4 linked regions of the Lepisosteus oculatus genome follow. The protein of the gene in region 1 interacts with the protein of each later gene in a pairwise test. Links are inferred from orthologs where the notes say so. Each region holds a gene or a part of one and is shown in the gene's direction. Other genes may lie near its edges.

Region 1 (7,416 bases):
ACAGGAACCCTAAGTGTCCGTAGGGACATCCTTAGGGATATCTGTGGCCTCACGCCAAGGCTCAAGCAGTAAGACGTGGGTCTCTCCGCCCCCTACCTTTGATACCATGACAACCACAAAGTTCTTCTCGTCGATCTTGTAGTCCTTGATGGGCGTGTCGTCCTGCAGGATCTTCCCGGCGTAGATGAGCTTCTGCCCCGCCACGGGGAAGCTCTCTTTCCCCTTTTCCGCCTCGATCTTCTCCTTCAGGGCTTTCACCTGGAGAAACAAACCACCAGCTCGGGAAATGGACCACTCCTCCGCTTTTCTTTTTAGCGAGCTGGGATCGCCAACCACCGTTTCGATCTCCATCCCCAAGGATTTGGAATCTCCAGTTGTCCGATTGTGAGTTTGTGTTAAGGCAGCAACTTCTGATTCTCCTGTGGAGGAGGGGGGAAGCCCCTCTGACATGCCTCTCCCCCGCAGTGCCCTTTAGCAAGGCGTCACCCTGCAGATTCAGCTCCATGATCACGGGTTCGAGCCTGGGTCATGTTACTGAACTTGAACTTGAACTTGAACTTGAACTTTATTGCCATATGTAACCGGTACTGGTACAATGGAATTCTTACTTACAGAAAGTCTCTCGATTATAAAACAAGTGTAAAAAACAAAACAAAGTGCAAACAGTGCATCAAGACAATGTACAAACAAACAATAGACAATGTGCAAGTAAACATGCAGACAGTTTGACTGTAAACAATACAGACGTGTAAACAATGACTGGAGACGTACAATTAATAAATTACAATGAGGTAGATGGTGATGGTGTAGGTGTGGTCCGAGGGGGATGGCTAAATGTGTTCGCCAGTCTCACTGCTTGTGGATAGAAGCTATTGAAGAATCTAGTGGTAAGTGTCCGTATGCTCTTATATCTCTTGCCTGAGGGCAGTGGGGTGAAGAGCTCATGCCCGGGGTGGTGACTGTCCTCTGTGATGGCCAGAATTCTACCACGGCAGCGGTCCTCATAGAGCTGTTTAATCTCGGTGAGACCGCAGCCGATGATCTTCTGGGCCATATTGACCATTCTCTGCAGTGCCTTTCTTTCTCGCGAAGAGGTGTTGCCATACCACACGGTGATCCCGTTGGTGAGGACGCTCTCGATAGTGCAGCGGTAGAAGTTCACCAACACATGTGTTGGCATCCCCCATCGCTTGAGGCACCTCAAGAAATAAAGGCGCTGCTGAGCCTTCTTCATGATAGAGTCAGTGTTCACAGTCCAGGTTAGATCTTTAGAGATGTGAATTCCCAAAAACCTAAAGCTGGTGACTGTTTCCACTTCCGTTCCATCAATACTGAGTGGGCTGTGAGTGTGTGGCCTGTGTCTCCGAAAGTCCACTATTAGCTCTTTCGTTTTCTTTATGTTCAAGTCCAGGTTATTGCTATGACACCACCTCAGCAGCTGTACAACTTCATCCCTGTAAGTGGACTCGTCATCATCACTGATCAGTCCTATTATAGTGGTGTCATCGGCAAACTTAATGATGCGGTTATTGCTGTGTCTTGCTGTGCAGTCGTGAGTAAATACTGTGGCTGGGACTCCCCGTGCGACGGCACACAAGGGGATGTCAAGGGTAGGGTCGGATTAGCTGGCCAGGATGCCGTTGGCTCATTGTGCTGTAGGTGAGGGACATGCCTCTCCTCATGCACAGGGATTCACGGCCCTTGACGTGTTACAAGACGGGTGTCTCCAATGCGGGCAGGGTGGAGGAGTCTGCCTACATTTCCACATCCTCCCCTGTGTGCGGTGGGGGGGTTTGTAGCTGAGAGCCGAGATGAGAAAAGCCACACACGATTGGTGATTCCAGATCAAGGACAACACAAAATGGAGGCTATACTAACAAGAACAGGAAGGGCTCCTTCAGGAGCCAGGAGAGTGGCGGGTGTCTGAAGCGGTTTCCAGCACAGCTTTCAAAACCTGCCTGCCTGACATTTACTTTACTCCATTCGCAAGTAGCTGCCAAGCGAACAGGGCTGGCTAAAGGGTCTTTTCTTTTTTCTGAAATTTCTAAGAACCTGAGTACAGTTAGCAACGAGAAAACACCATTCATCCCTCCCTGCCCTTTGGAAGCTCCTCAGCCAGCATTTCTCCTGGTCTTTAGAAACAGGGGAGCTGTACAGGCACAACTCTGTCTTGCCTGATGCCTCACAAGGCCTGTTAACCAGCACAACATCAGGCCTGTCATCTCTTCCACGCTCCTAAGTGTGGCCATGTGATGTTGTGATTTTGCTTGGGAGCCTCTTATTCTGAAACGATGTTTGCTGAGCTGTACAAAAATGTTTTTTTTTTATTAAATGTGTTCACTTCCCAAAAGAGGTTACCTTTTATAAAACACAAAGAATTAAATGTATTTTTAAAATCGTACAGTAGTGTGTGTATATTGTGTACACTAATGTTTTTTTTTAACTGGGAAAAGCAGATGGGTCTCAGACGAGGGAGTTTTAAAAAATATTAAGTCTTCAATATGATGTCATGTTTGCGAATGATGAGCATTAAAACATGCCTTTTCGGTCTCTTTTCTAAACTCCTTTACACATGCAATGTCACCCATATCTATGTTAGTAACAGTCACTCAACAACGGCCTAAACTGCGTTTCTGTCTGTCTGTTACCATAACAATCGTTTCTTATCGTTTTTAAGGAACCGCCTTTCATGTGATGAAGAAACCGCTGTACAGAGTCACGTGGCGTATGACTTCTGCTGTTCACGCACGAAGCATCATAACTAAAGTACCGAAACGACACTTTAATTCCGCAGAATTATTTCATAATTGTATACGCGGTTCCTGTAATGAAACACACCGAATTACTCATTGGAACAACTCAGTGGAACGCTTTTACTGGGAATTATGTGTCAACGTATGCGGTGTCTTACGTGTAGTAACATTATTCTTTAAAGAAGACTCGGACAAGAAAACGAACATGTACAAATCTTCCGACAAACCGAGAGGGCCAACTCTAGCTGAGGATATCCCTTTAGCTCGGGGTGTCCAATGGGTTTTTTTCAAGAAACTTGTTAAAGCATATGCGATCGCTCGGCGAAACGAAACTGTCAACTTTGAAAATGACAAATTCGACTTAAGTCTAAATCCGCCAAGAAAACCATCACCAACCATCACTGTTTTAAAAATATCTAACGTTACACTTCAGTTTCATCAAATCGTGTTTGGGTTTGTATGGACTGAGGCATTAGTACGGCTTAACAGGTAATATTAATGCCTCAGTCATGCTGTCATTCAACAACCTACAGCCGCTTACCGTTTGCTCTGCGTCTATGTCAATTTGAATAGTTTGCTGTTGCAGCGTCTTCAGAGTGATTTGCATCTTTCTTCTGTTTCCGATCTGTCAGTCCAAAACTTCTCTAAAAAAACTATATATTTGAAACACAGCCTGTCAATTTGGATCTGAAATAACTCGCACGCTGGTAGATGAGGTTGGCGAAAAAAACAGCACACACGAGCCATCAACTCACTGCCGCCATCTTAGTGATGACGTCATGAAGCGAACGCGGTGGGCAGACGGTCCGGCGTCATCTCTGTCACGTGACGTGGGTATCACTCGAGTTGAGGGTAATAGAACGCTATTAAACACGTGGTTCTTGTAAAGTTAGGTGTCATTTTCGTATAACTGCGTGGTCAGAAGTCTGATTCCGTGAACTAAACTTAACATACCATAAATGGCACTATAGACAACGATGTACCAATTGCCGTAGTGTCCAGTGACGACAGTAAGGTCTATCGGAGACAAAAGGCTCTGCTCAGCCTGATTTTGGTACCTGCTTGCGGTGATAAATAATCCTTGTGTTGAATAAATACATAAAACTAAAAGACACGCATCCCGTATTTTATGTATTCAGGGAAGGGAATCGTGCCAGACTGGAACTTTCTATTTTTCAGGTTGTTTTTCTCTGGAGGTCTCCCATCGCAGTACTACCGACCTGACCCAAGCTTGCGTATCTTCTGAGATCTGACAAGATCGAATTAGTGTTATGATATTTTTGTATATATTTTGTTACTCTGCGTCCCCCTAGCTATAGAAGTCCGTCAAATGCAACAATAATATAGCGAACAGACAATGGCAGAACACAGTAATGACTTCTAGTAATATCAGTCAAGTACTAATTCCCCTAAAATTTATTTTTGTGTGCTTGTTCAGAACTACAACTCCCACAAAGCACCTAAACGTCATTTCCGGCCTTTGCAGTTTGTAAACAGAGCAAAGGGGAGATGGGGTGGACTGATCCTATAATACTAACTTAAAGTGAATCGGATATGTAACTGATATATAAATACCGGCGATTTTTTGGGTTTATTTTTGGCTAGGAGAGATTCGGTTGCAAGCACAAGAAAGAAAGCCAGAAAACTGTTCATGGATAGGCGTGATTTAGCAGCGGGTTAGCTTTCCTTGCCCATATTTCGGGTGTCGGGGGAAGACGGGTCTCGTTTAGCCGCCCCTCTGCAACTCTCTCGGCCAGTGCACCCGAGTCCACTTCGATGGGGAACTGCCTCTCCTCGCAGGGTGCGGACGACTTGTCGTTGCTGAACGAGTCGGAGGGGGCCAGCTTGCCCGGAGAGCCACCGCCGCCCTATCAGGTGCAGTAAAGGGGGAACGAGTGAAATACAGACCGGGGATTCGCTGGGAGAGGACGAGTGGTCGAACAGAGCTCTTCAGGCTGGCGTCTGGAAAAGCCCAAACAAAAACGAACGCCTGTATAATTTATACATTTTTAAAATGCTGGAACTCCGAAGGCGAGGGAATTAACGAGTATTTATTTAGGTAGTTCAGAAGTGTAGTTAAGACGAGAAAACTGGTACACAATTATTTCTGCTCCAGGGAATGTGGCTTTTTTTCCTTTCTGTTAGTTTTCCGTGAAACGTGCTTTTGAGACGATTCTCATGAGAACCTCTCTTCTCTTTTTGAGACGTGAATCCCGAGAGAATTAAGAGTGCTACACATTTACTGCACAAAAAACCCGCGTTGCTTTGTCTGTTGTGTGGCAGACACTGCGACAGTTTATTACACTTTAAGAGGCCGTTGCATGTTGATTACAGGGGTTTAATTTAATTTACAAAGTAAATTAAAATGAAATGTCTGACTTCAATAGCATACCGAGTACGTCTGCAACGCTTTCAAGACTAAGAACGTTTTATCGCCTTGGTGTTGCTACCCCCTTTTAAAAAATAAAATTAAATTGTCAGTGCAGCCAAGCGTGATAAAAACAACTCTTTATGCTTATTGTGATGTAGATCTGAGGAGAAGGTCCATACCAACACTCCAGGGAATAGAATCTATTGATTCAAACTCTTAGTTCCTTTTGATCAGACCAGCTGATAGACATAGCAGGGTTACCCTTTCCGTCCTGTTGGGCTGAGACGGGGCTTATAATGGGATTTGATTGAAAAAATTCAGGTCTCCTCTAATTTGTATGGTTTGCTTTAAGCCTTTTTCTGTTTGTATTTCTTGAAGTTGACATGTTGAAACACTCCAAATTAAAGTTCATATCTTCACGGTTTGTGCTTTTCACTGTTGGATGTACTGTCTAAATATCTGGAGCAGTTTTCTTCAGAAGATTCCTTGAAACACACCTACTGCTAGATGCAGAATTTAGTTGAAAAACGTTTCTTCCAAAACACTGAGGATATTTACAGTCCAGTTGGTAGACTAGACTTTAGTGGTCCAACATGCTTGTGCTCCTATCTGTCATTATTGATTAAATTCCCACACTGCCAAGCAAACATTGTTTCATTAAACATTGTCTGCATTGTAGCACAGAAAGAGAAGAATGAAATGGTTCCAGTTAGACTTCTTTGGACGTTGAGAAGGTCAAGATAACCTGTAGGACTGCAGGTGTAAGAGAGCTGGGAACCCTCTCTCTAAAGATATTCAGGCTTGAAGCACAGTACCTGGGGGGGAAAGACGTTTCCTCTATTTTCATGTGTTGAATAACACATATGATATTGTAAGGGCTAAAAATAACCCTGTGCAGCTGTTTGTTTTATCGCGTGTGTGTGTGTGCACCTGTGTGCCTGCTCTCCTGTAGGCTGGGCTCTGACTGTGCCCTGTGCCTGCTCTCCTGTAGGCTGGGCTCTGACTGTGCCCTGTGCCTGCTCTCCTGTACGCTGGGCTCTGACTGTGCCCTGTGCCTGCTCTCCTGTAGGCTGGGCTCTGACTGCCCTGTGTGCCTGCTCTCCTGTACGCTGGGCTCTGACTGTGCCCTGTGCCTGCTCTCCTGTAGGCTGGGCTCTGACTGTGCCCTGTGCCTGCTCTCCTGTACGCTGGGCTCTGACTGTGCCCCGTGTGCCTGCTCTCCTGTACGCTGGGCTCTGACTGTGCCCTGTGCCTGCTCTCCTGTACGCTGGGCTCTGACTGTGCCCTGTGCCTGCTCTCCTGTACGCTGGGCTCTGACTGTGCCCTGTGCCTGCTCTCCTGTAGGCTGGGCTCTGACTGTGCCCTGTGCCTGCTCTCCTGTAGGCTGGGCTCTGACTGTGCCCTGTGTGCCTGCTCTCCTGTAGGCTGGACTCTGACTGTGCCCTGTGCCTGCTCTCCTGTACGCTGGGCTCTGACTGTGCCCTGTGCCTGCTCTCCTGTAGGCTGGGCTCTGACTGTGCCCTGTGCCTGCTCTCCTGTACGCTGGGCTCTGACTGTGCCCCGTGTGCCTGCTCTCCTGTACGCTGGGCTCTGACTGTGCCCTGTGTGCCTGCTCTCCTGTACGCTTGGCTCTGACTGTGCCCTGTGCCTGCTCTCCTGTAGGCTGGGCTCTGACTGTGCCCCGTGTGCCTGCTCTCCTGTACACTGGGCTCTGACTGTGCCCTGTGCCTGCTCTCCTGTACGCTCGGCTCTGACTGTGCCCTGTGCCTGCTCTCCTGTAGGCTGGGCTCTGACTGTGCCCTGTGCCTGCTCTCCTGTAGGCTGGGCTCTGACTGTGCCCTGTGCCTGCTCTCCTGTAGGCTGGGCTCTGACTGTGCCCTGTGCCTGCTCTCCTGTAGGCTGGGCTCTGACTGTGCCCTGTGCCTGCTCTCCTGTATGCTGGGCTCTGACTGTGCCCTGTGCCTGCTCTCCTGTACGCTCGGCTCTGACTGTGCGCTGTGCCTGCTCTCCTGTAGGCTGGGCTCTGACTGCCCTGTGTGCCTGCTCTCCTGTAGGCTGGGCTCTGACTGTGCCCTGTGCCTGCTCTCCTGTAGGCTGGGCTCTGACTGTGCCCTGTGCCTGCTCTCCTGTACGCTGGGCTCTGACTGTGCCCTGTGCCTGCTCTCCTGTACGCTGGGCTCTGACTGTGCCCTGTGCCTGCTCTCCTGTAGGCTGGGCTCTGACTGTGCCCTGTGCCTGCTCTCCTGTACGCTGGGCTCTGACTGTGCCCTGTGCCTGCTCTCCTGTACGCTG
Region 2 (7,408 bases), on another chromosome or scaffold:
CATGGTTGCAGCTTGTGAGCTCCCATAATACAAAAGCAAGGGGTAGCAGCATAGGATTATTCCACTATATTGTCACTATATTGTGACATATGGTCAGATATCAAATTAAAGGTAGAGATATGCAATTGCAGCAAAGCTGGAAGTGTGTGGTCACGTGCTGGGTGATGACCTGCTCTCCTCTGTCCGCCAGACACCTGTACAGACCCCTGCTCCGGAGGAGACTGGCCCCTCAGCACGCAGAGCTGGCCGTCTTTGTGATGTCTGCGGCCATGTGTGAGGTACCACGCCCTGGGGGACCAGACATTCATCCACAACTCTCTCCACCTGCCCAAAACAAACGACGTAATGGAAAGACCATTACAGTTCTGACCCTGCATTTCACCTGATTGCTTTTTTTCTGCCTTCTCGCTTTTGCAACATCGTGCTGTCCACCGTGCACGGGGAAAGAACAGTCTGTGGATGCAGGAGATCATTCATGTCAGGAATCTTCGGTGTGCAGGAGCTCGGACATGTCTAAATCCCTAGGAATTGTTTAGATACTAATGCGTCACGGCACACTAAATAGCATTTTTTTCTATTGATTTGTGAGCAGGTGATATTCCTTTGATGATGTGTGTTGTTCTATGAGAATGAGTTATGGGTCAGCTAGATCAGGGGCACCAAAGGGATACAAAACTGTGTACCTGTGCATTTTTATACAAGTCATTCAGTGCTAAAGATTGTGTGAAGAATAAGGTAGTTATATAATAGTTATAATTAATGATAATTAAGGACAGGAGCATTGTGTTATTTGAACATATCAGTTTCATAAAGGAATCTTATCATGTTATATTATATAAGAAATCTAACCTGGAACTGTAGATGTGGACCCACAAAGCTTCCTGCACCCAGGAGATTGCTCTCTTTATTCTGAGGCAAATGGTTGGTTCAGTCTCTTTCACGTCTGTTGTGGCCTCTCCTGAAATCCTGTTCAGTTTCAGGTTTTTCTCACCAAGGTAACAAAAGACTTGGGGAATCACTGTTCTTGGTCTGTAAAAAAAAAGAAAAAGAAAACCATACTTCACAAGAATCAAAAAAAAAAAATCAGCTTAACAAACACAACTTAACAAAACGACAACATCAAGACTGTTGAAGCTGAATATTGGCACTGATCTGTTTCTAATGGCTGTTGTTTCAGTAGTAAGTGGATAACTGTCCTGTACTGGGTAAAGATTTTTAAGTCTCAGGGAAGAGTTTAAAGTGTTTTTTATAGCATCGTGATACCTGCTCATCTCAACATGAATCACATGTTGACCTTTACATTATGACTTACAGTACCATGGATGTAGAGAGGCAGAACTCCAAAGTACATGGTTTAACAGCTTCTGATATGGATAACATGGAATTTCTGATTAAAAAGAGTGGATTTCATGTAAGGGCATTAAAGCTACTCTTGCATTAGTGAATTTCCATGATCTGCATTGTTTGGATCAGAGACGTGTCTTTCAGCTGACTGAACTGTTCCTTATTGTCATTCAGTTCACCTGACTTCAATCCAGACCTCAATCCTCCCTCTCTGTCTGATATTGTACTTCACAGTTCCTCATTGCTGTACCTCTGCAGATGTTTCGCCTCTGGATCTTCATCATCATGATTCTAGAGGTAAGATCTGAATTTGCTTGATAAATCAGGTGTTACTCTTTGTACTGGAATTTACAGACTTCTCCAGAATGTAGTAAAAGCCTTATATCCTAGCACATGTGCAAATTGTCCTGCTTGTCCCTGTGACTGTCATTGACAAGTGACTGCTCTGAATTTGTTCATTGATCCAGGGTGTTTGTGGTACAGGCAAACACCCTGCTCACCAGTCCACCCTCAAACTGCCTTTGACTAGTGCCAAACAGCTCAACAGACATGCCTATAAAGAGCACTTGATTAGATTTGATCATCTGTTTTCATGTCTGTTGTCCGTTCCTGTCTTATTGTCCTTTTGCCTCATCTCAGGAAAGATTTCTGAGCAGCGACACCCCCCTGTGACCACTGTGTGTTCATGTGCATCTTGAGGTTCTAGCAGAAACATTAGCCCCTGTACTCTAACGCAAAGAAATTACACAGAGACTCACTTTGGAACCGTTTCCATTGTCAGAAGTACTTGTTTCACAAACTCTCTTTGGGATCTTGCATTTTAGCACTGTGTGAAAAACCGTGCTATGATCTGATGAAAGGAGTATCCTTTCTTAACTAAAACATTAACATGTTTACATGTATGAAATACCCATCTTGTCCTCTGTTTTCCTAATTATGTCTGACACTGTATGTAAGGCTGTTTATGCAATCAGACAGCTTACTGTGCATGTTTTCCTTTGTAGTATGTCTGCTTCACATATTCTTTCATTTCTTGAAGGTCAAACCACAGTGCCTCACTCCAGAGTCTTGTCTCCCCAGATCAAAGTGGCGTACTTCCTGGGGCACTATTTCACAGGGAACTATGGCAACGGCATGGTGTGGCTCTGCATGCTCCTGGGCCCTCCCATCGCGGTCATGACCTACTTCCACGACTACTACATCCTGAACAAGGAAAACTCCTCCTGGACGCTTATTTTACCACCACTCTAGACCACCAGCTCTGTGGGAAACCCGGCCGATTAAAGGCTTCTCCCCTGGAGAAAGCAATGCCCCGTCTCGTCTAGCGTCTGCCATGTGTGCTCTTCTGCTCTGTAACTATGGCTTCTGGATTCAGTGTTTTGCCATTCTTATGCTCCTTTAAATGTTTGCTTGACACCCATTTAAGTCATTGATGTTAATCCTGATTCCAAATGCCATACTTGTTAATAGTCAAATTGATGTAACTGTTGGGCATTCGCTGCCTAAGATCTGAACTGTCATTCAAAATCAGCCCTTGTCCTTTTTACAGGAGAGCAGGGGTGCAAAGCACAGCAGTCTCATTATTCACACATGGGAGAAACGGGCAGCACTGTCTGAAATATGGCCTGCACTGCAAGGACTGCAGTGAACTGAAGCTCGAGACAAAAGGCACTCACTGGTATTAGCACAAGAAAAATGAGAAGTTGTTTTATTTAAGCATATTTCTGGGATAAATTGCAGTCATGATGACCTCTGTGAAACGTAGTTGATTGTGTATATTCTACGGCTGTTGGAGTCAAGCTTCTTAAGACATTGGGAAGATGTGAAATGGGACTTTTGCCAGTCACTGGATTATTAGAAAACTGCATCCTGCAGAGGACCTTTGTCTGGGTTACCTACAGTCATGGACTGAGCAGCAGTAGGTCCCAGTGTGCCTCTGTGACAAAAGGCATCCTTGGGGCTTCCATTCCAGTCTGCATCACGTGTTTATTCCAGATCATCCTTGATTTATTAAAGAGACTTCAGCTCATGGATCAATTTAGCAAGTAAAGGCCAAGTCAGTAATGAGGCTCTTACAGCCTGGACCGGAGGAGTCAAGGCTGCCTACCCCTGGTATAAGACAGAGATCCTTCTCCCAGGGTTCCTTGGGGAGCTACTGCTTTGTAACTTTTTGTAACTTTAAAGGTAACTTTAATCCTTATTGGCAGCTGCTGTGGGACCAGCTGTGTACTTAACCTATTCATCAAAGAAATAAAGAGCTCAGAATGAAGAATAACCAGAACAGCTGTGATTCTCTATGACAGGGTCATAAAGTCCTGGAGGGCCACTGTGTTTACAGTTTTTCTAAGCCTCTTTAAAGAACCAGCACCCAGGGGAGGGGTTGGTACTGTACATTGGTTAAATCCCTTAATGAGGTGGTTTGGATTGAAGAGAAATTATTTGGAATGAAAATCATTGCCATGACCTTCCTGGATTTGAATCCGACATCCCTGCATAATGAGCAGCGTTTGGATTAAACCATGTCTTCGTCCCATCTTCCAAATATCTCATGAGGTACTCTATTTTCCATGGTGTAGACACTAGAGACTTATTTTCATTTAATGTAGACCCAGTAGGGAGTACCAGTTAAACGGGGGCAAATTTCCATGACAAGATTTTGTTTCTAACTCTATGCTGTCACACGATGAGGTTCCCAGAGATTTAATCGGTAGACATTGTCATGGTCTCAGCTGTCTTTTTGACATACATTAGGAAAGGTTACCAAATTAGCGAAATTTAACGAAACGGTGAACTAGAGGATCTGCAGCAACACTATACATAACAACTCCGGATTCCAGTCTCGTTTTTGTTAAAACTGAGGGGTCCCTACTAATACCACGGAATAAAACGAAGAATCATATTCCAGCCAGGGACGATCGGGCTGCACTCCGCTGTTTCCCGAAAGGCTTTGCGGCTCTCCAGCCAGAGTCATGTGACTCTGACATTGAGGCGGAAATGAAAGTTAACTAGAGGCACCGGAGCTGAGCAGGAGCAAGGTACGCCAGAGCTTTTGGAAATTGTATTTCTCTACCGCGATAAGCTTCCCTTCTGTCTGGAGCCGGCTTTCTCCAAAGTGACACCTTTTCTCTTACGGAGGGTCAGATTACTGAAGCTTGTTTTGCTACCGTGCTTAGAAGTGCTGCCCGCTTGCTTGTGGTTTGTGTGTGTTATTCTAGTCCGGATACGTATTGGTAACAGACAGCAGCGTTTGTTTTGTTCCCATTCGCGATACAGGGGAAACGCGGGGCTGACGTGCTCATATGGGGGTTCAGTCTGCAGTGCCCGGGGGTGTCCAGGGTTTGTAACGTACGCTAGAACAGAGATGCGGTGGGTAGGACTGAAACCCGAGTCGTAGTGATACTGTAGCTCTGTTTCTTCCTTATTTCTCGGAGCACGCAGTTTAAGGTGTGTTTGTTGCCGCATTTAGCAAGCAAAAATGAGGAAACATTTCGCACCGTTTAGTCATGGGGAGTTCGGTGTTGTAACATTCTCTTCTGACTCCTTTTGGCATCCAGAACTATACGACTACAATATAATTCATCTCCCATACCGGAGTTTTCTTTAAAAGGATGGATAAAATTACTGCTTGATTGATTTCCTCGCGTGCAGGTGAAAATGTATCGTACGTAAGGCTGGCGTCTTCCACCTGCGAAGGGAAAATGTAATTTCGTCAGCTGTGCAAAGGACTGCGGTATTGAAGTCTCTCCTGGGTCGTAATACTCGCAGGAGGGGCTGCTTGTACACAAAGCGTCTCTTGAGCGATGGAGGGTATTTCATGGTCAGCAGAGGTCGGTCCTAAGGGCGGCAGGGGAAACAGAAACTAATGCTGGGTTACCCAAGATGTGCCACCATCCCTGTTCTGATCAACAGTCTTCGTAGACAGCATGCTGAAAGACGATTGTTCTGCTGATAAGCCTCTTCAGCTTTCGTCATTTTTTTTAGTCAATCTAATAAATTCTATCTGTTACGGTTTTGGGGCCAGACTCCTTCTTCAAACTTATTGATGGCGCACACAGTGCATTCCCTGCTTTGTGGTAAAGACTTCAAATAACTAAACTAATTGAAGACGCAATGCAAAGGGGTATTTCTACCCATACAATCCGTCCAATCACGCAACGCCTAATCCGTAAGTGAGTATTAGGCGGCATTGGTGTCGGAGAGTGTTAATTAGGTCTGTGGCTATCGCTTCCTCACCTGATCTGCTGTCGCATGGCATCCAGGTGCGGTAGCGCTTCAGTGGCGGAAGAAGTGGGGTCCTATATGTGAAGTACATTGGTAAAGCATTCTATTAAAGCAAGGATCTGTCATCCTTGAGCCCGATTCACAAAGGATTGGTAAAACGGAAAACGTATAAAGCTGAAACGTAGTCTGTGTCGGAACAGTGGTAAAAGACAGTGCTTCTGTCACCTGACTGGTGATTGAAAAGCCCAATTGCTTATTTTCCAATGGGACCTAGTTTTGAACAGATGGCACTACAACCTTTTTCGAGCCAGGCTGAAGTTTTGAGTACATTCAATACTGCAGGAGGCTTAACTATAAGGTGTGTGTATTTGATTCACAGCAGGTTTCTTGCATACTGGGTTGATTCTAGTTTCTGTGCATAGCATGAGGTAGTAACAATAAACTTTATTTTATGTGTTGCTTTTAATACTGGCTTCTCAAAATCGCTTTATAGTAAGAAAAAAGGTGCTCTATGAGAGAAGACAGCAGAGTTACACGATTACAGTGTGAGTTTGGAATGCAGTAGGAAGGCAAAGGGGCAGACGCAGAAACAATTAAATAGAAGCCCTTCTAAACGGCATGCTAAATATAATATAGAAGATTTTATATCGTTTAAAGGGGGCGGAGCGGAGGCTCTGTGGCTCAGGATCTGCGCCTGTGGCTGGAAGGCTGTCGGTTCGTATCCCGCGGCCGGCAGAGGAATCCTACTCCGTTGGGCCCCTGAACAAGGCCCTTAACCCCAGCTGCTCCAGGGGCATCGTATAAAACATATAAGACCCTGCTCTCTGAGCCCCAAGCCTCTCTCCCTGTCTGTGTGTCTCATGATGAGCAAGTTGGGATATGCGAAAAGACAAATGCCTAATACAAGAGATTGTATATGGCCAATAATAGTGATCTTATCTTAAATATGAAGGTTTTGAGTCTGAGGTAAGGTAGCCTGTGTGTGCTCTCCATGAGTGCTGATGTGTCCAAAGCAGCAGATTTGTCCAGTTTCCAGTTTACATCCTCTTGCAAGACTGACATAACTGTGGAAAATAAGAAAACATATTGACTGTTTGGTTACTGGCTGCCTGAGGGATTTTCTGTCGATGGAGGAGTTCTTGTGCATCTCCCACTTCTCTAATTTACTAATGATAGTGTTTCTTTGGTGTGATCCTGCACAGCCACCTTTTAACATGGTGATTTGACACATTAGCTCTCGCTGCTGTAGCTCCTCTTGACTCTTGTTACTGCTGTTCCAGAGCTAATTACTAAGAAGCGAGTTGTTGACGTACCAAAGACAAGCCATATGCTTTTAAAATGTGGTTCCTGTGATACAGAAAGTACTCCCACATTAAAGTGAGCATTACTTCTCCCATGTATTTTTAGTTCTAATTCTTCTTGAATTATTAGTGCTAATACTATATAGGCCTATGAGTTTGAAGCCTTTCTGGATATCGGCATGCCTGGGATAACACTGCACCTCTATTTTTGTTATGCAAATCCAGATATATCGTATTACTCTAATTCTGCCCTGATCTTTGTGGTCATTGACCCTTGTATTTGAATGGAGGTCCAGTAATTACACTAAATATACCTCATTGTGCATGTTATGTATGTTAATTGGATCCATTTAAATCACTGGGCAACGGCTTTATCTGGGTCAAAACCTTTCTGCACCTTTCTGATTTTGTATGGAGGGGGAGGTATGTTCCGTAGTGCCGTCTGCATGACAGGCAGCGTATTTCGGCAGCACTTTGTGGTTGTGTTCCGAGTCACGTCAGGTTATTCCCTGTGAAATTAGTCACTAAAATCTATGATGTTT
Region 3 (7,586 bases), on another chromosome or scaffold:
TGCACACTGGTGTTGGTGAAGGGGATCCCCATTACCTGTAAAGCGCTTTGAGTGGAGTGTCCAGAGTATAAGTATATAACAGCTGATACACAGATGCATTAATCCAGGGGATCTAACTGCATTATAATGTTAGCCTGTTTGATTATGAGACAATAGCTAATACAACCTATCACTGCGACCTGACACAAGGGGATGCATTTCAGTCTTATCTAAACTTCACACTGTTCTCATTATCTCTATCCTCCAGCCAATGGATCATGTGCACCCGTTCTATGCAAAGTCTCAGCCAAGAGTAACCGTGATAAGAAATGGTCTTATCTCGGGCTTCTCCTTCTTACTGGTTAAAAATGGAAGGTGTAAAGTTCAGCACCACCCACCTCCAACAGAGCACCAGTCTGAAAGAATTTCAGAGGCTTTTCTATGGAGTAGTACAGGCCGTGGTGACTGCCCTTCGCGAGATACGCCCGCACCAAACCAACAGCTATGACCAGCCACCTGAAAGAGAAAAAAAACAGCCGTCAGCACGCGTTTCGCAAAGCAGATCCTGGACACACAGCTCCGGGGAGGGAAATATTCGCACCCCCTCCGTCCGCCGCTCGACCTGCGGTTCAGACAGACGAGCCTTAACGTGCTCTCCCACGGGAAAGTGAAACGTCACGTAGTGGCAGAAAACGCGCCAGACTAAAATCGACTGTAACGTTAAGGCAACACGACATTCCAGAGAAATTTGAAATGAAGGAATTAAATTCCACAGGAATGACTTAACGGGGGCAATAAATTGTAACCTACTGGATGTAAGAAATAAAATGAGTTGCAAGCAGACTAACATTTCTGCTGAAAACACCCTATGAGGGCTTTAAGAAGAGGAAAAACAGCTGTTCAGATAACGAAAACCATATGGCTGCAGATGAAAGGCTAAACCCATCCTGCTCTATTCCAGCCATTGTCATTATTTTAGAGCTCTTATGGAAGAAAGATTTTAAAATTTTGGCAGCAAACGCCATCCCGTAACATCTGGAATGTTTCACACCTGGTGACACTTCGCATGAAAGACCAGTACAAAACACAACAAACAGCACTATATTTTTCTGGCCTTCTGATAAAACTCAATAACAATAGCAAAATTATGCATTGTTTATACATGGACATTTGTCTAATCTGTGAATGTGAGTGAAATAGTCGTTTAACCACAGAAACTGCCCCTTCAGGATCTACAGCATACCAATGCAACATATGAGTACTGTAATTGGGGAAAAGAGGAGGCAGCCTGTGAAGGGCGAGGCTGAAAACATGCATTTTCTTGTTTTAAAGACAGATCTATCAAGTGAGGACTGTATTGCCAAACAGGGGAAAAAAACAATTCCCTCCCTTATAAAAGAGGATGCTTTCAAAACCTTAAAACTAGGTAGTTTTGCAAATCAAATTCAGTCAAGACCCACAAAATGATTACTTACCACTTGTAAACCTCAATTATCCAGGTAATCAAGAAGGGCCTGAGCAGACTGCTTCATTAAATGAACAAGAAACTGCATCCTGTTTATAATCAGCAGTTGTTTTGTCACTTTTGGAACCCGTAATAGAGAATATAATTTCTGTTCAAGCCCGATGTATCGAGGGAACTGCACCAGCAGCTTCACAGAGGTGAAGCGATCTCTGACACTCATCACCTAGCCTTTTACACTCTTAACACCAGAATGCACAATACAAGATTTGAAGACGGCAATAACACCGAGTCCAGCAGGCAACCTGTAGCAGAGGGTCACAAGGTGCCTAGCCCATTGTGGCCCCCTGGGTAAGACTTGGCTGCCTCCTAGAATTACTCATTATTACGTTCTATGGCTGAGCAGTTTATATCTACACCCATTTATATGGCTGGGTACTTTACTGAAGCAATTCAGGTGAGGCGCCTTGCTCAAAAGTACAACAGCACAACCTCACCTGCGGTTTGAACCTACAATAGGATGAAATCATCCCGATGAATCGCTTGCTTTAGTAGCTGGGAATACACTGTACTCACTCAGAAAGGGGAATGTAATATGAGAAATGATTGTTACACAGATCTCATCGTTAACAGAGATGAAAAAAACAGATAAATGAAATCCGTTTTAATCATTTTTCACATCTCCTCCAACTCAGGATATAAAGTCAAACTCTGAATCTGCTCTTGAAAACACATCCAGATGTTCCAGGGAACTAGCATCCTAGATTTACAGCTCTGAATGAGGTTATTTTTAAAGAGAGATCGCTTATCTATTGGGGTTGCAAGGCACAATTCTCTGCAGCTTTTTTACATCTGATAACCAAGCATCATTACTCAGCTATCATTAGACACTGACTTCTTCCACATGAGTGTCTCAGCAATTTAGAACCTGGAATCATGGGCGCAAGGCAGGAAAACACACTGGATGAGACAGCACTCCATCTCAGGAGCGCACTTAGGAGAGGACACAGACACAGGGCAACCAGCACGTCTTTTATGGAGAATTCCCTGGGGAAAACTCATGCAGACTCTGCGCAGACGGTATCCCAGTCTGCAAACCGAACCCACGATGCCACTGTGCCACCAGACAATAATGTGCAAGAAGCACAAACGCATTTCCAAATTTCCTACACGAACAAACAAAAATCATTGCATTTCATAGGCTTTGAGACTCACGGGAATGTCTTTCAAAGGCTGCCCAGTGCTTTCGAAACTTTGCCCCTTTGTACCAGAGCACAGTGACCTGAGCAGCGGCCCAGTAATTCAGTTGTATCTGTATTCATACACCTGTATGCAGTTGAAAAAGATCAGCGGTTTTGCTCAAATATTAACTGTTATTAACATGAACAGTTTTGCAACTTCTTTTGCAGGAAGAATGGTTTCATTGCTGTCGTTTTCTCTACTTATTCGCGATGTTTCTTGATATTTTTATAATAGGATCGTTAGGCATCCTATTATAATAGGATTTTATAATAGGATGCTGGGCATGAACAAACGTTTCTAAAATAAAATGCATCATGTTTTCATTTCCACGGTTATTAATCAACTTGCGCGTTGCAGAAACTTCCAGTTAAGGACTTCTGCCTTGCTCCGGCAGAGTCCGATACCCTGAGAAATTAAACGAGATTAAACCGTAGAACCGTCCATTAGAATTAAATACGCGAACCCTTTCATACTGTAAATGCCGAATAAAACGTAGGACTATCGGAAATGAAAAGTGGAGTGTATTTCTAGACCTTTGTGAATTTATCATCTTCTCTCTACAATGTAAGGCAAGCACTCAGAAATAAAAAAAGCGCTGCCTAATACATAATTCCCTGGTAGAGCTGCCCACAAAATGCAGGGACGCGTTTATCCCTTTCCCGAGCGGCTAATCCACACAGAAAGCCAGGGGTGTCGCAAGCACGGCAGAGAAGCGCCCTACACGAGTGACAGGATTTAACGGCGTCAAGTGCATGCAATAACTCTACAGGTCAAACAGGCACCGGGGAGAAAAAAAAAAACCCACGCAAATCACCGGTGCGTTGAGTGTATATATGCATTAAGAGTCGCCTCTGCAAACTCCTGCGCTACAAAATTGCTCTGTGGAGCTGGCGCCCGTCACCACAGAGACACGGCGTCTTTCATTCATTCGGACGCGGACACCTGACACATTTCGGTGACAGAAAAAACAACAACAACAACAACAACCCCCACGAAGTTTAGCCGTCGGATTGATTTACCCGGCCGTCATGACCACGTTATAGATGACCAGGTAGGCAGTGGCCAGTGCCCCCGGTCCCTTTTTCCGCCTGGGAGGCGCCTCGACGGGAGCGGCTTTCGCGGCCGCGGCGGTGTGTCTCGCCATGGCTGAGCTGGTCGGTGCGGCGGGTGACTGCGGCGCTGCTCCGCCCGCTCACCCCTGCAGGAAAGGCAGGCTGCGGGCCTCCGACAGCCGCTTGCAGGGGCCGCTTTCCAAACAGCGACATCTGGGGGGAATGCGCGGTTTTCAAAGGGGCTCTTATAGCTGTGTGCGTGTGGGTCCCCCCCCTCCAGTCATTTTCCCTGAAGGCAGACGCTCAGCACATTGTAAACGGGGGTAGGTGGATACAGCGCGCCTTGAACGCTCTGCGTCGTCTTCAGGTTATTTGAAAGGAGTGAGGCTGTCGGTTCGAAGGAGCGAATCAACACACGGTTTTGTCGTGTGATTCCGAAAATTAAAACCGAGGTGCCTTTAACATTGCTTGGTTTCAGTTAACGCAGCTACAGGCTGCGCAATTTTTGGAAACATGCAATATCACTGGAATAAAGGATAGTTTTTGTTTACCCCTTTTAAGATTATGAACTCTTACACCGTGAAATACATCCCACAAACGAGACGACCCCCCTGCCAGTCTAACTTTATTCTCCACTGTTTTTTATGCCACTACCTGCCGCGTGGGGGCAGCACCGCCGCCGCTACGCGGCCATCGGAGGGGTGCCCACGGAGATGCCTGAAGAAGGTCGCCTTTAAATACGTTATCAAAATAACTTTTTCAACAACCGTCCCGAAGAATGACCAGAACAAAATTGAACCCGGTGACGTAGATAAAAATCTGTAGAAGCGCAAAGGCCTTTCACTTGGCACTGATTTTTTTCAGGCGCATCTGTGGCCCGGCCCGGGTTTACGGAAGAGCAACTAGTGGAAGTTGGAGAGTTGGATGGATGAGGAAGGGATAGTCGCGAATTCCTACTATTTACACCGCAGACATTAAAAAACAAGGAACGCCGTGCTGTGCTTCAGAGGGATCAAGATGCCCTTATTCTCACAAAATCCTTTCGACCAGGATGTGGGTGAGTTCGGTGAATAAGCCGTCATCATCTCTAGCTTTCCTCTTTATTCTTGTTTTGATAGGAAGTGTGGGTTAAACACCCAATGTTTTTCTTGGCCTGTAGAATTACAGCGAGATCATCACTGAATCGATTCTTTCCCGCAGGTTCGCAGTTTGATAGTTCACTTCTGTAGCCGAAGAAAGAAATTTGCCGACCAAATCGTCCAGTGAACATTTTTTTTTTGCAAATGTCGAGAATCTTTGTAAAGTAGATGGCGAGCGAGCTGGTTCTATTGACATTACAAAACACACTAAAGCAGTCTCTCGTAGGTAAGAAATGAGTTTCCCAAAACAGCTTGGATTTGCAGTCGGCGTTTAATGACTTGTAACTGAAATGGTGTCGTTGAATTAGTTGGTTTAGCTAATGAAGACACGACAGCGTAACTCGTGACTTTCATACGGTACCTAAACCGGTGTCAGAGTTAAAAAAGATGATGTAATGTGTCAGGTGATTTGCTTAAATAAGTAGAGTTATCTTTTAGCGTTAATACAACTGAAACATAAACGTAGCATTACCGAGTTGCTCAGAAAAAGATCGTGTGCTCTGTTTTACATGGGCTTGTCTGAGGTTTGAGCAGGTGGTGACGTTTAAAAACCCCAGTATATTTTTGGATGTGAGAAACCGTTAGGTTGAGGATTATCGGAAAAACTAGGCGGCCATCGGTCCGTCTCTCATATGTTGTGTCCTGACTTTGAAATGTTGTTTATCTACGTTAGAGTGCATTATTAATTGTAGCAGCCAAAAGTAGTGAAAAAACTTTCCGGTACATTTCAGAACACAAAGCAATACAAAAATCCGTATAGGTTTGTAAAACTATGAATGTCTCTCTAATTCGTGACTCATTTGCCTGGACCCCAAATGACACGTTTTAATATGACTGGGTCCGAAGTTGGAAGGGATGGATCATCTGAACGTTATTAACTCCTGATCCTCTTAGGGAGCTGCAGTTTCACCTCGTCTCCATCCCACCCTGCACTCTGAGAGACTGTATCTGAACCAAATTCAGTTAATTGAATTGGTCTGTGTTTCCAGGCCTGGGCTCGATGAGGAATATGACTGACCTGGTGACCTTTTTTTCAGTGATGTCCCTCCAGGACCAGGAGTGAACTTCACTGAAAGAAAAACCACATCACTAGCACTAAGAGTCTAGTGCAAGTTAATGCAGCAAATATGTATATCACTGTTGCTTGTAGTCAGTCAAAATAAATAAGTTTTAACGTGCATGTTTATTGTTATATAATACTACAAACTATCTTTCAAATAATAAAGATCAAATTAAGAATACATTAAGAATTTTACTGTGTGGAAATCTGTACTATGAGTGTAATGTGGTATAAATAAGAAAGGTAAAGTCCACAGCAGCTTCAGGACAGAGCCCAGCCTGGTCACTGTAGTGTTAAGCGGAAGAGAGAGCTTGTGACTCCCCCTCTGCAGGGCACTAGGCCATCACAGGCGTGACCCCCCCAGCAAGACTGATCCCCACTCAGAGAGCTGGGAGGACTGGAGCCACTGGGGTAAAACACCTCACTCCAGGTACCACAGCAGTGTCTGCAGCTGGGCCTCGAACCCACAACCTGATAATTGAGTCCAAAAGCTTAGTGACCAAGCTATGTTGCCCCCTCTAGTTTGGTGTAATAACACAGAATTAGTCAAATATTTACATGTACTTGCACAGTTGTCTTTCACTGCTCCAGAGGGTCTGGCTACATTTGTAGTGCCAAAAACTACCATTTTAATTCATCTGAAGAGGAAATCTACAGTCAAGAATGTTTGTGATTCATAAGAAATGCATGTTGTATATAGCTGAATAAACAGGTTGCATTGATTTTTTTTTTCACATACTGTAAACATCAACAGAATAAATATAGACTGCTTCAGAGTATGTCAACTCAGAATACTTTTTGGCAACTTTTATTTACTGGTAAACCTAAAGCTGTTTTTAAGCTAGGGATTGGTTCTTTATTTGAGTAGTTTTAAATTGCCCACCTTTAGTTGCTTGTCATCATAAAGGTGTGTGTTTAAAAAGGTGCAGATCCTTTAGCGGAGAGATTTGGAGGCATCTATGTGTTGACAAACTCCTACGTGGTTTGTTCATTTATTTTTCTTGTACTTCCAGTTTGCTTCAGGGTGTTCATCACGTTATTTTGGAAATTGCACCTTGTACACTCGGTCTGTCCGTGGGATAACAACGGGCTGCAGAGAACTGTGAATGGATGTTCAGGGTCTGGGTTTGCAGTGGGCTATAAATATGAAAACTCTAATCTGTGGTAGGAAAGGACTGTGCTAAATGTAATCTGTTCCTTCAGATTACTTTCACGACTGCAATTCATCACATTGTTTAAAACAACAAGGGGCATTTGGTATTGCCTAGTTTTCAAGGTCTGTGATTCTGCCCTGTCCATGGAAGACCTCTTAACAACTTTGTCACTGGGGATGAGCTGTTTTCTTGGGCCTTCAATTTGTATTCATGGATAAAACCAGCTCCTGGTTTAAAAGTTTTAAATCTAACATTTAATTGCCATAAGTTTGTGGGACAAGGATGGGGGAAACATACTTTTCTATTCTTTTGTACCTTTTTTCCCAGAAAACAGTGTCAATAATAGTTGTATGAAGTATCCAGAAGGTTGCCATTTGAGTGAGTGGTTTTTTTTTAAATGCAAAGGGGTCTTTTTCTGTCACTGAAGTATAGAGCAGGCGAAATTGCTGAGGAGGTTTTTAAAGCAAGTGTTTGCAGAATAGATCACATGAACGCCTA
Region 4 (7,956 bases), on another chromosome or scaffold:
CAAGTGTTTCTAAATCCTATCTTCTTGTCCACATGAAAACCTAGTATCCATCATGGCTCGCATAGTGGGCATGCTTCTTCCATGTTGTGGTTTTTCAGTAAAATGGATGACTGACTGTAGGTCTTTTAACTTGTAGACCTTGGCAAGACTTTGCTATTAAACACTAAGCTCTGTTAAATGGTAACATGGCTAAATGTCTTAATGCATAAATTAGTAAGGTATTAAAGTTTAAGTGTAACCATCCTGTTGAATTCCCAAAAAGTGATTTTCTGAGTTACATAGGCATGGAGTTAACTAGTAACCCAAATTCCACATCCTTTTATCGATGTGGAAAAGAAATGCAAAGTATTGCATTTGTATCCTCTGGGATCTGGTTTTCAGAATACTAACATTTCTGCATGATAGAAATCAGGTGAAATATGTGAAGCTATTTAAATCCCTCATAATGCAAGTTGTCTTAAAAAGAAGACTATGATATGCTTGAGAAATTTCTGGAAGTGAGAATTCTGGTTAAATAGTTGCATTTAGAGGTTGTATGATAGCTTCCACTTCGGCAAACTGGAATGTTCATCTTGCTCAATGGAAAGACTATCCTGGCTACCTATTAAAATGCAGACCTGAGAAAGCTTTCAAATTCCCAGTAAGACTTTGAGTAGCCTCACCTTCACATGTGGTACTGCAGGAAGTGTTTTACCATTCCTGATGTGTGGGATTACTTCCATGTCGCCTGATCTGAATTCTGTTTTAAGAGAAGCCCATTTTCCTTCCATGTGGATACCTGAAGGAATAAGCATAGATGACACCTAAGAATTTAAAGGTAGCAACTGAATTTTCACCTGACTCTCTTCAGGATCTATTCACACTCCGATTTTGATTTGAGGAACTCCAGAGTGACTCAAGTTACAAAGGTGTAATCTTGGAACACAGTCTGGCTTCTCTGCTCCAAATATACTGGTTGGGGGAAAAACTCTGTATCTCATCCAAATCCTCTGAACAAACAGAACCACTAGAGCAAATCAGACAGGATATTAAAGGGGGAGGGCTGGGATTAGATGGTGAGGGTGCTCTGGACTTTCTGCCAAAGGGACTACACGGACCTTCAAGATAATGGTTACCTCACTGAAAGGTGCTTGTCCAATCGGTACTAATTTGTCTAACATGGTAATGCAATTGGGGCTTTACTGTGAAGCTGTAAAATGGGTCACATGGTAATTCCAAATTATGGTTATGTAAATGTAATTACTAGAACAATAAGGGAGAAATGTTAGTTTGAAATAAGGTAAACATCCCCAGTGTTTTAAAGCACTTGCATTGATTAAAACTCTACATTCATGCAATATCTGATTAACAATGGGTCATACAATTAAAAATATTTCCCCTATATACAATTCTATAATGTGTGCTGACAGCCTGCATGTCTTTGGCAATAGTGCCACATATGGATCTCTTCCTCAAACCTCCTTGGTCCTCCTACTGTATACAATACAGCATACTATATATATGACTTGGATTGATTGTTGGGTAATCCAATCTCTTTACATTTTTTCTGTTTAACCTATTTCCAGTCCATTGTATTACTTTGGAATGCTCCTATATATCCATCTGTGTCATTAACTTGAGACTAATTTATGCTGTTTTTTTTTGTATTAGCTCAGATGTTTATGCAATGGAAACTACTTGATCTAGAACATGTACTGCTAAATGCTCACTGGTTTCAATGAGTTTTAAAATTGTATTGGTTCTGCAAAATCATATTCCTGTTATATATTTCATGTATCTTCTATATGTATGTTTTTGACAGATACAGTTGAATACATGTTGAATTGAATGACTGTGTTGCGAGTAAGTTATCTTGCTCAGTGAACATATGGTTAGAGTGTGTAGGTTTGCTTCTGCTCTGGCCTGGATTTGTAAATAAACAAGTAGACATCTATGGCCAGCTATGCAAATTTGTAAAATGCAGAAACCATGTGTTTAAGTATAGAGTATGCTTGATTACTCTTTTCCAATTGCGTTTGTAGCCTTGCAAATATAGTACTTGGGAGCATTTTGCAATTGGATATCAGAAAGATGTGCATTTTTGTTTTTCATTTTCCATGTGACCTAAATGTATACAATCTATTCTTTGCAACTCATTTGTAAATACTGAGGATGTGTGTTTTTTCATTCTGATCTATGTGCTTGTATAGTTCTTCCAATTAAATATTTTTCAAATATGGTTAATTTTGTGGAATGTGGTTCTCACGATTCCTAAAGAATGCAGTAATGTTTAAAACCTTGACCGGTGTTTGAACCACAGGCAGTATGGCAGTCAGAATCCTTGTTTGTCTTGTGGGGATTGTTTCCCTGTACATTTTGTCAGAGGAAGCCTTTGTTTCATTGATAGCTAATTCTTTGCAATCCACAATGAAGCTCAACCTGTTGATAAATAAAATGCCCTTAACTCTTTAGTTGCACATTTTTACATTTTAATTATGTAGGTCAAAGACGCCATTTTGTTCCTCTGTGGCTTTATGAATGTAGTAACTATCTGCAATGGCATGGTGTTTAGGATTCATGTCTTGCCAGCAAGACTCTTAAGTTTTATGGTGTAGCTTAAGGCGAGAATAAGGGAATGATTTACTATTGTTTAGAATTCTTTTTACGAAATTCCTTTTGAGCAGGTGCTTCATGGAGGAGATTCTCATTTCTCATTTAATCATGTTATGAGTCATGGAAGTGAAATAACTCATCAAGACTGACAAGTGATTGAGATCAGGCATTTAATTTAGTTTACTAAAATAATTCCATAAATTGAAGTGACGAGTAGCAGAAAAACCTTGATGTTCACATTATTTTGGTTTAACCAATAGATGAGCTTGACTGGAAAAAAATAAGTTGCAGTGTTTAGATTATGTAGGTGGTTATACCACAAAATTATCAATATAATTAGGAGAACACCTTTAAATTGATAGGGGAGCAGTCACTTAACTCATTTTTGCAGCCGAACTTTACATAAGATTCTTCCATGAAAGCTACTGCAAGACGCATCCCATAGAGCTACACTGAAACAGGCTACCAGCCAGCAACAATTAGCATGTAATGGGGATTCTACAAGTTGCCATGGTCTTGCACACTGTTGCAGATCGCTGGGCCTGGAGCAGTCCCACCAGGCAGGAACTGTAGTCGTCTTGTGTATTGCCCAAATTAAACTGGGTGCGTGCTTTCACAAAATCAAAAACTCACTGAAAGAACTACTGTACATCAGCATATGACCAGACTTTCTGCAGGCCGGATACCAAAGTTATGCGCCATTATAATTCTGTTTTTGGACAGGAAATGAGTCACAGTTATTTAAAAAGTTTCTTTACTGTAGGTGCACTCACATGCCCTTTCCCAACAGCTTGTAAAGAATGTTTTAGCCTGATGAGAACCTGCTTTGTGTCTGGTATCAATTAGCTGGAAGGTGGGTGCAAGTGATTTTATTTGACTTGAGAAAGAAACTTGGATATTTTTAAAAAAATATTTAAAAGAAATCCCCACTCAAAATTTTGTTTGCCAATATGGTGTGGAATATTATACTTTTACAAATGAGGATATGAATGTCTTTTTATGTTTTAAGACTTTTTCATTACATACAGGGGTTCACTTGTTTGTGGATTCAATACAATTATATAACAAATGCAGATGTCAAACTTTTTTAAAAAAAATCTTGTACTTGAGAATCTTATACTACACTAAGTACATTTTGATGTGGATGAAACATGGTTTTCAGTAAACTATTATTTCCTAAATCACATTATTCTTTAAGAGCTGGTTTACTCTTTGTGAATATTAAGATGCAAATCTATATTAAATAAAGCTATTTAAATTGACCTCTATATGTACTTTATGTAGTTAAATAAGTTTAATTGAAAAACGCTATGAAGCTGATCCCCGAAATAAATTAATGTATCATCATCTTGACATTAAATACGGCTGTCCTGCTGCATACAATTTGTAAATCCTTAAGGGCGTCGAATTTTCACAACAGCTGAGTCAATAGTATTTGGTAAAGATGTTTATGAGTGTACTGACGGGCAGGTTAAGGACGTTAAATACTTCTTAAAGAAATATTTGCATTACTCAATTATAACGGGTGCGTAACATTTTTTGGACTGTAGCGAATTTCAGTATATTAAATTCAATAATTCTTAATATATATATATATTTAAACAAAAGCATATTAGGGTATTTAGTATTTTAAACATCAAAACTAAGACTATTAAAATAATCCAAGCAGTCATCAAGAGTGGTATCACATTAAGAGAAAGTCGATCCAGGATGTCATACAGAACACACTTAATTTACAACACGTTAAAACGACTATAATTCATGTAACACAAATATTTCGGATGTCATTGTGTATGGGACGTTTCCATTTTGTACAGCACAAGACGTATTCTTGTACTAACTAAAAACATGAGACGTTTTGGAAATCTACTTATCGCCCTTTGAAATGGATTCTGGCGTGTTAACCAAAGTTAGGAAATTAATTTCCCCCATAATCCACACATGTAGCTATGCATTTTCCATATACTCCGAAATGTTGTAAAACGCCAATTTAAACGTATTGAGGCACACATCCCATTTCTGCACAAAGGTAGTTGCGTTCGTGTGAGTACGCCTACTTACTGTTAGGCATGGCATTGACATTGAGATTTTTACAATGCAAACACACCAAGCTTGGGGGGCGCCGCCTCTCTCTTAAGAAGTAGACGGACACGACCCCTTTCCTCGCTTTTCCTTTGTCATCCAGCCCCTGCCTCCCCCTGTCCCGAGCAGTCGGGACCGCTCTGACACCTCGACGCCACAGTCGTGTGCGTGCACGTCCCGCCGTGCTGCGCTGACGTCAGAACGCCTTTGAGCTCGAAAATGTTTAGGAGCGTTATGCGAGCTGGGAGCTTTGGGGGATTTTCCGAGAAGGAAATAATAAAAATATACCCTTGATAAGCCATTCTAGAAACACCGTTTTGGTGTATTTTGTTTTTCCCGACAGTCTAGCTTCGTGGTGAAGTTTTAATCTTAGGTCAGACCTAAGGGAAAGTTAGCTATTTCTTTTCCGGAGTGATGTCGAATCCTGGGACTCGGAGGAACGGGTCTAGCATCAAAATCCGACTGACAGGTAAGCAAAAACACCATTGTTGTTAGGGGTTTGTGTTGCAGTTTTGTCTTTTAAGTCCGGCACCTCCACTTTTAATGCCATACACCCTAGTTGTGGGTGAAGAAGCCGGGTGTTTTTCATTGGAAGCCTTTTGTGGGCAGACCCCTTGCTGCACCAACCGAGGTGAAATAGCCGTAGACCTGGTAATTTCTCTACCATTGGCGATGAACCAGGCTTGCTGGGATCTGCTGTTGACGAGGTTGGCCCACTTTTTTGTTTCCTGCGATTTGGCAGAATTCATTTGTACAATAAGGACTTGCAAACAAACGATCTGTGCACGGGATGTAGGTGCACACGGCCCAGGATCACATTTACATCGGCCTCTTACAAACCTTTTTTTTGTAACTTTTATGCATTTTTGCTGGACATCAGCATCAGTTGCATATCGTGAACACCTTGCATTTATGATCGTTTCCGCTTTAATGCTGTCATTTGCCTTTGCAATGTATTCTGCTGTCTGTAAATAAATGGAAGGGACACACTGTGCACAGGCGCACTCGGGCGGTGATGTCGCTTCCTTCCTGCCTGATTAGAGCGCCTGCTAACCCGTCTGTCCTTTTAATTTTCGAAGTGCTTGACTGATTTCGCTCCGGGGAGGAAGCTGCTCTGGCAGAGCCGGGATCGGAACCGGATCAGCCCTGCTGTGCAGAGCGGTGAATGATTTGCAGGACTAGTTCAAACTCGGAACTGCCGAGACGGAGGCAACAAGCTGACGCTCAGACCTGGCAGCCTGCTTTTGTGTGAAGTGTGTGTCTGCACTGTACATACATGTGTATGATCTAGGCCTGTCAGCTTTGCAGCCTGACTAAAACAGAGACCATGCCCATTCAGTTCCACTTAACAGAAATCTGTGGCCAAGTAAATCGGTCTTATTGTTCTCCAAATTAGATATATTCCCGATTGTCGGCGCATTTTTCCCCGAACGGATTACTAGGGCTGAGGTGCTGTAGAGAAGCTATGGTCAATGCACCAGTCTTCTGTTCCTGTGGGTCCGGAGGGTGTCAGCACTGTCTACTAGTACTGGAATCTGAATGGGGTTTAATCGCTGTTTTATGGGCCCTTCAGCTACAGTACATGTGAAAGACTCTTACAGACTACACTGCCGTTTTCCTCTACGTGGGTAGTTGCTACCATTGCTATGCAAACTGCGAAGCTTGCGGCCATGAACCCGAGATTCAGATTCTCATTATTATTTTAATTGTTTGTCTTTTAGAATCTGACAAAGTGCGTTAGAATTTTGTTACGGTCTGCGTGGAGTGTTAATGTGAGGCATGAAAAATCCCATAGGTTCATGTAGTGCACTCTTAACCCGGACAGACTTGGCCTGCAAACTGGGGCGTATTAGGGGCAAAAAAATGTTAATCGTAAAACCCAAAGCGTTTTATGGTTTAGCTTTGCTTGTCGGGTTGACTCTTTGTTTTCTGTCTAGATCCAGCGACAGGGGTGGAGAATGTAACTGTCCAGCTGATAACTTAAAAGTTCACGGGTATTGGGGCTGATGGAGCATTCATTTTGTTTGTCGTCATTTTATCTTTTGGTCACAAATATAGAACTGTCAGCCCATCTTGTACTTTAGCTTGAATTGTTTTGATGGCCGGTTTGTGATTGACAATGATGCAGTAAACTGGCTTTACAGTAAGAATCATGAAGTTGTTTCTCGAAGCAAAGTATAGGCTGTATTGTAGCCTCCTAATGTCACCATTACTTTGTCATATGAAAGATGAAAAACAAAAATGCTGTACTCGATCAAAGATATCCAAGTTAAGAAGTGTGTGTATTTCACCATTCACATTCACCATTCATCATTATACATTATTCATTTACACAGAAGACCATTGGTTGCTGTATAGGCCTAGAGCTTTCAGTCACACAGTACCTATGAAAGACATGGGTTGTTTCTGGATTATGTTGTACTGCAGCTTCTACTATAACCTCAATCAAACTTTCAGCAGAGCATTCAAGTTTCTAGTCGTTAGTACGTTACTGAAGCTATTTGTGTAAAGAGCTGTAAAAAGCGCCGTCTGTAAATTGATTTTTTAATTGCCGAAGTGGAGACAAAAACACCTTTGGAGAGTGACAACTTCGAATAAATTCTGAATTCCATTGTTCCCATACCCCTGTATGGAGAGAAGATAGTGTTATTTAATTTGTTTTAAGTATCTTTGACTTAGTCTAATAGGAAGAGGCTTTTATGTCTAGCTACAGTTACATTTTGATTTTACAATCTAAAATTAGATTAAATGATTCTTTGTCATAGTTTACCAGTGTTACACAGGGGCAACCTTTCATGGGGATGTTTATTTGTTTTTAAATCTTGCAATAATGTCATTTGAGTTTAGTAATAAGTAATTGGTTAAGTATTAAGTGCCCAAGCTGTTTGATAGAAATATTGTTCCCTCATCAGACCGTGGCTCTTGTTTCTTCAGCTGACCTTACAAGAGTTCATGGGTGAATAGTTCCTGAAATGGCTGTGATTTTGTTGTTGTTTTTGAGGAGCACAATGTGTGCCGGTCAATGGGAGGCAGATTGTGAAATTGCAAGGGCTGGAAAGATCCACACTATTTACAGTTACAGCCATTTCCATTCTTCAGTCTTCACGACGATTTGAAAATGGAAATTAAACGCTTTAATGAAAATTACTGAATAAAAGTAATCTCGGCTTTTTAATAGAGCGGTTTTTATTTCAGAAGTGTGTTAATGGTATGGACCTTGTGTGCCAGTTTTAATTAATTTTTGGTTCTTTGATTTTACAGGATTTAATAATCTTCATGTTG

The links.
Region 2: the proteins of rnf11a (region 1) and wwp2 interact in binary tests that used the Homo sapiens proteins (3 or more experiments, as listed by UniProt). The link is inferred for Lepisosteus oculatus from reciprocal best matches to the Homo sapiens genes RNF11 and WWP2.
Region 3: the proteins of rnf11a (region 1) and stam2 interact in binary tests that used the Homo sapiens proteins (3 or more experiments, as listed by UniProt). The link is inferred for Lepisosteus oculatus from reciprocal best matches to the Homo sapiens genes RNF11 and STAM2.
Region 4: the proteins of rnf11a (region 1) and smurf1 interact in binary tests that used the Homo sapiens proteins (3 or more experiments, as listed by UniProt). The link is inferred for Lepisosteus oculatus from reciprocal best matches to the Homo sapiens genes RNF11 and SMURF1.

The regions. Positions count from the first base shown.
Region 1 is NC_090706.1:16,877,234-16,884,649, reverse strand, and holds the start of rnf11a (RING finger protein 11a), read left to right. Parts: upstream 1-4,227; 5' UTR 4,228-4,529; coding exon 4,530-4,628; intron 4,629-7,416. Other genes in the region: rad23aa (RAD23 homolog A, nucleotide excision repair protein a), read right to left, coding at 97-258, 3,295-3,360. UniProt on the Homo sapiens protein: Essential component of a ubiquitin-editing protein complex, comprising also TNFAIP3, ITCH and TAX1BP1, that ensures the transient nature of inflammatory signaling pathways. Promotes the association of TNFAIP3 to RIPK1 after TNF stimulation.
Region 2 is NC_090715.1:12,307,346-12,314,753, forward strand, and holds the start of wwp2 (NEDD4-like E3 ubiquitin-protein ligase WWP2), read left to right. Parts: upstream 1-4,315; 5' UTR 4,316-4,379; intron 4,380-7,408. Other genes in the region: diacylglycerol O-acyltransferase 1-like, read left to right, coding at 191-342, 1,579-1,641, 2,425-2,669. UniProt on the Homo sapiens protein: E3 ubiquitin-protein ligase which accepts ubiquitin from an E2 ubiquitin-conjugating enzyme in the form of a thioester and then directly transfers the ubiquitin to targeted substrates.
Region 3 is NC_090707.1:4,803,426-4,811,011, forward strand, and holds the start of stam2 (signal transducing adapter molecule 2), read left to right. Parts: upstream 1-4,493; 5' UTR 4,494-4,752; coding exon 4,753-4,792; intron 4,793-7,586. Other genes in the region: hacd2 (very-long-chain (3R)-3-hydroxyacyl-CoA dehydratase 2), read right to left, coding at 378-495, 3,703-3,827.
Region 4 is NC_090714.1:10,267,227-10,275,182, forward strand, and holds the start of smurf1 (E3 ubiquitin-protein ligase SMURF1), read left to right. Parts: upstream 1-4,863; 5' UTR 4,864-5,088; coding exon 5,089-5,143; intron 5,144-7,956. UniProt on the Homo sapiens protein: E3 ubiquitin-protein ligase that acts as a negative regulator of BMP signaling pathway. Mediates ubiquitination and degradation of SMAD1 and SMAD5, 2 receptor-regulated SMADs specific for the BMP pathway.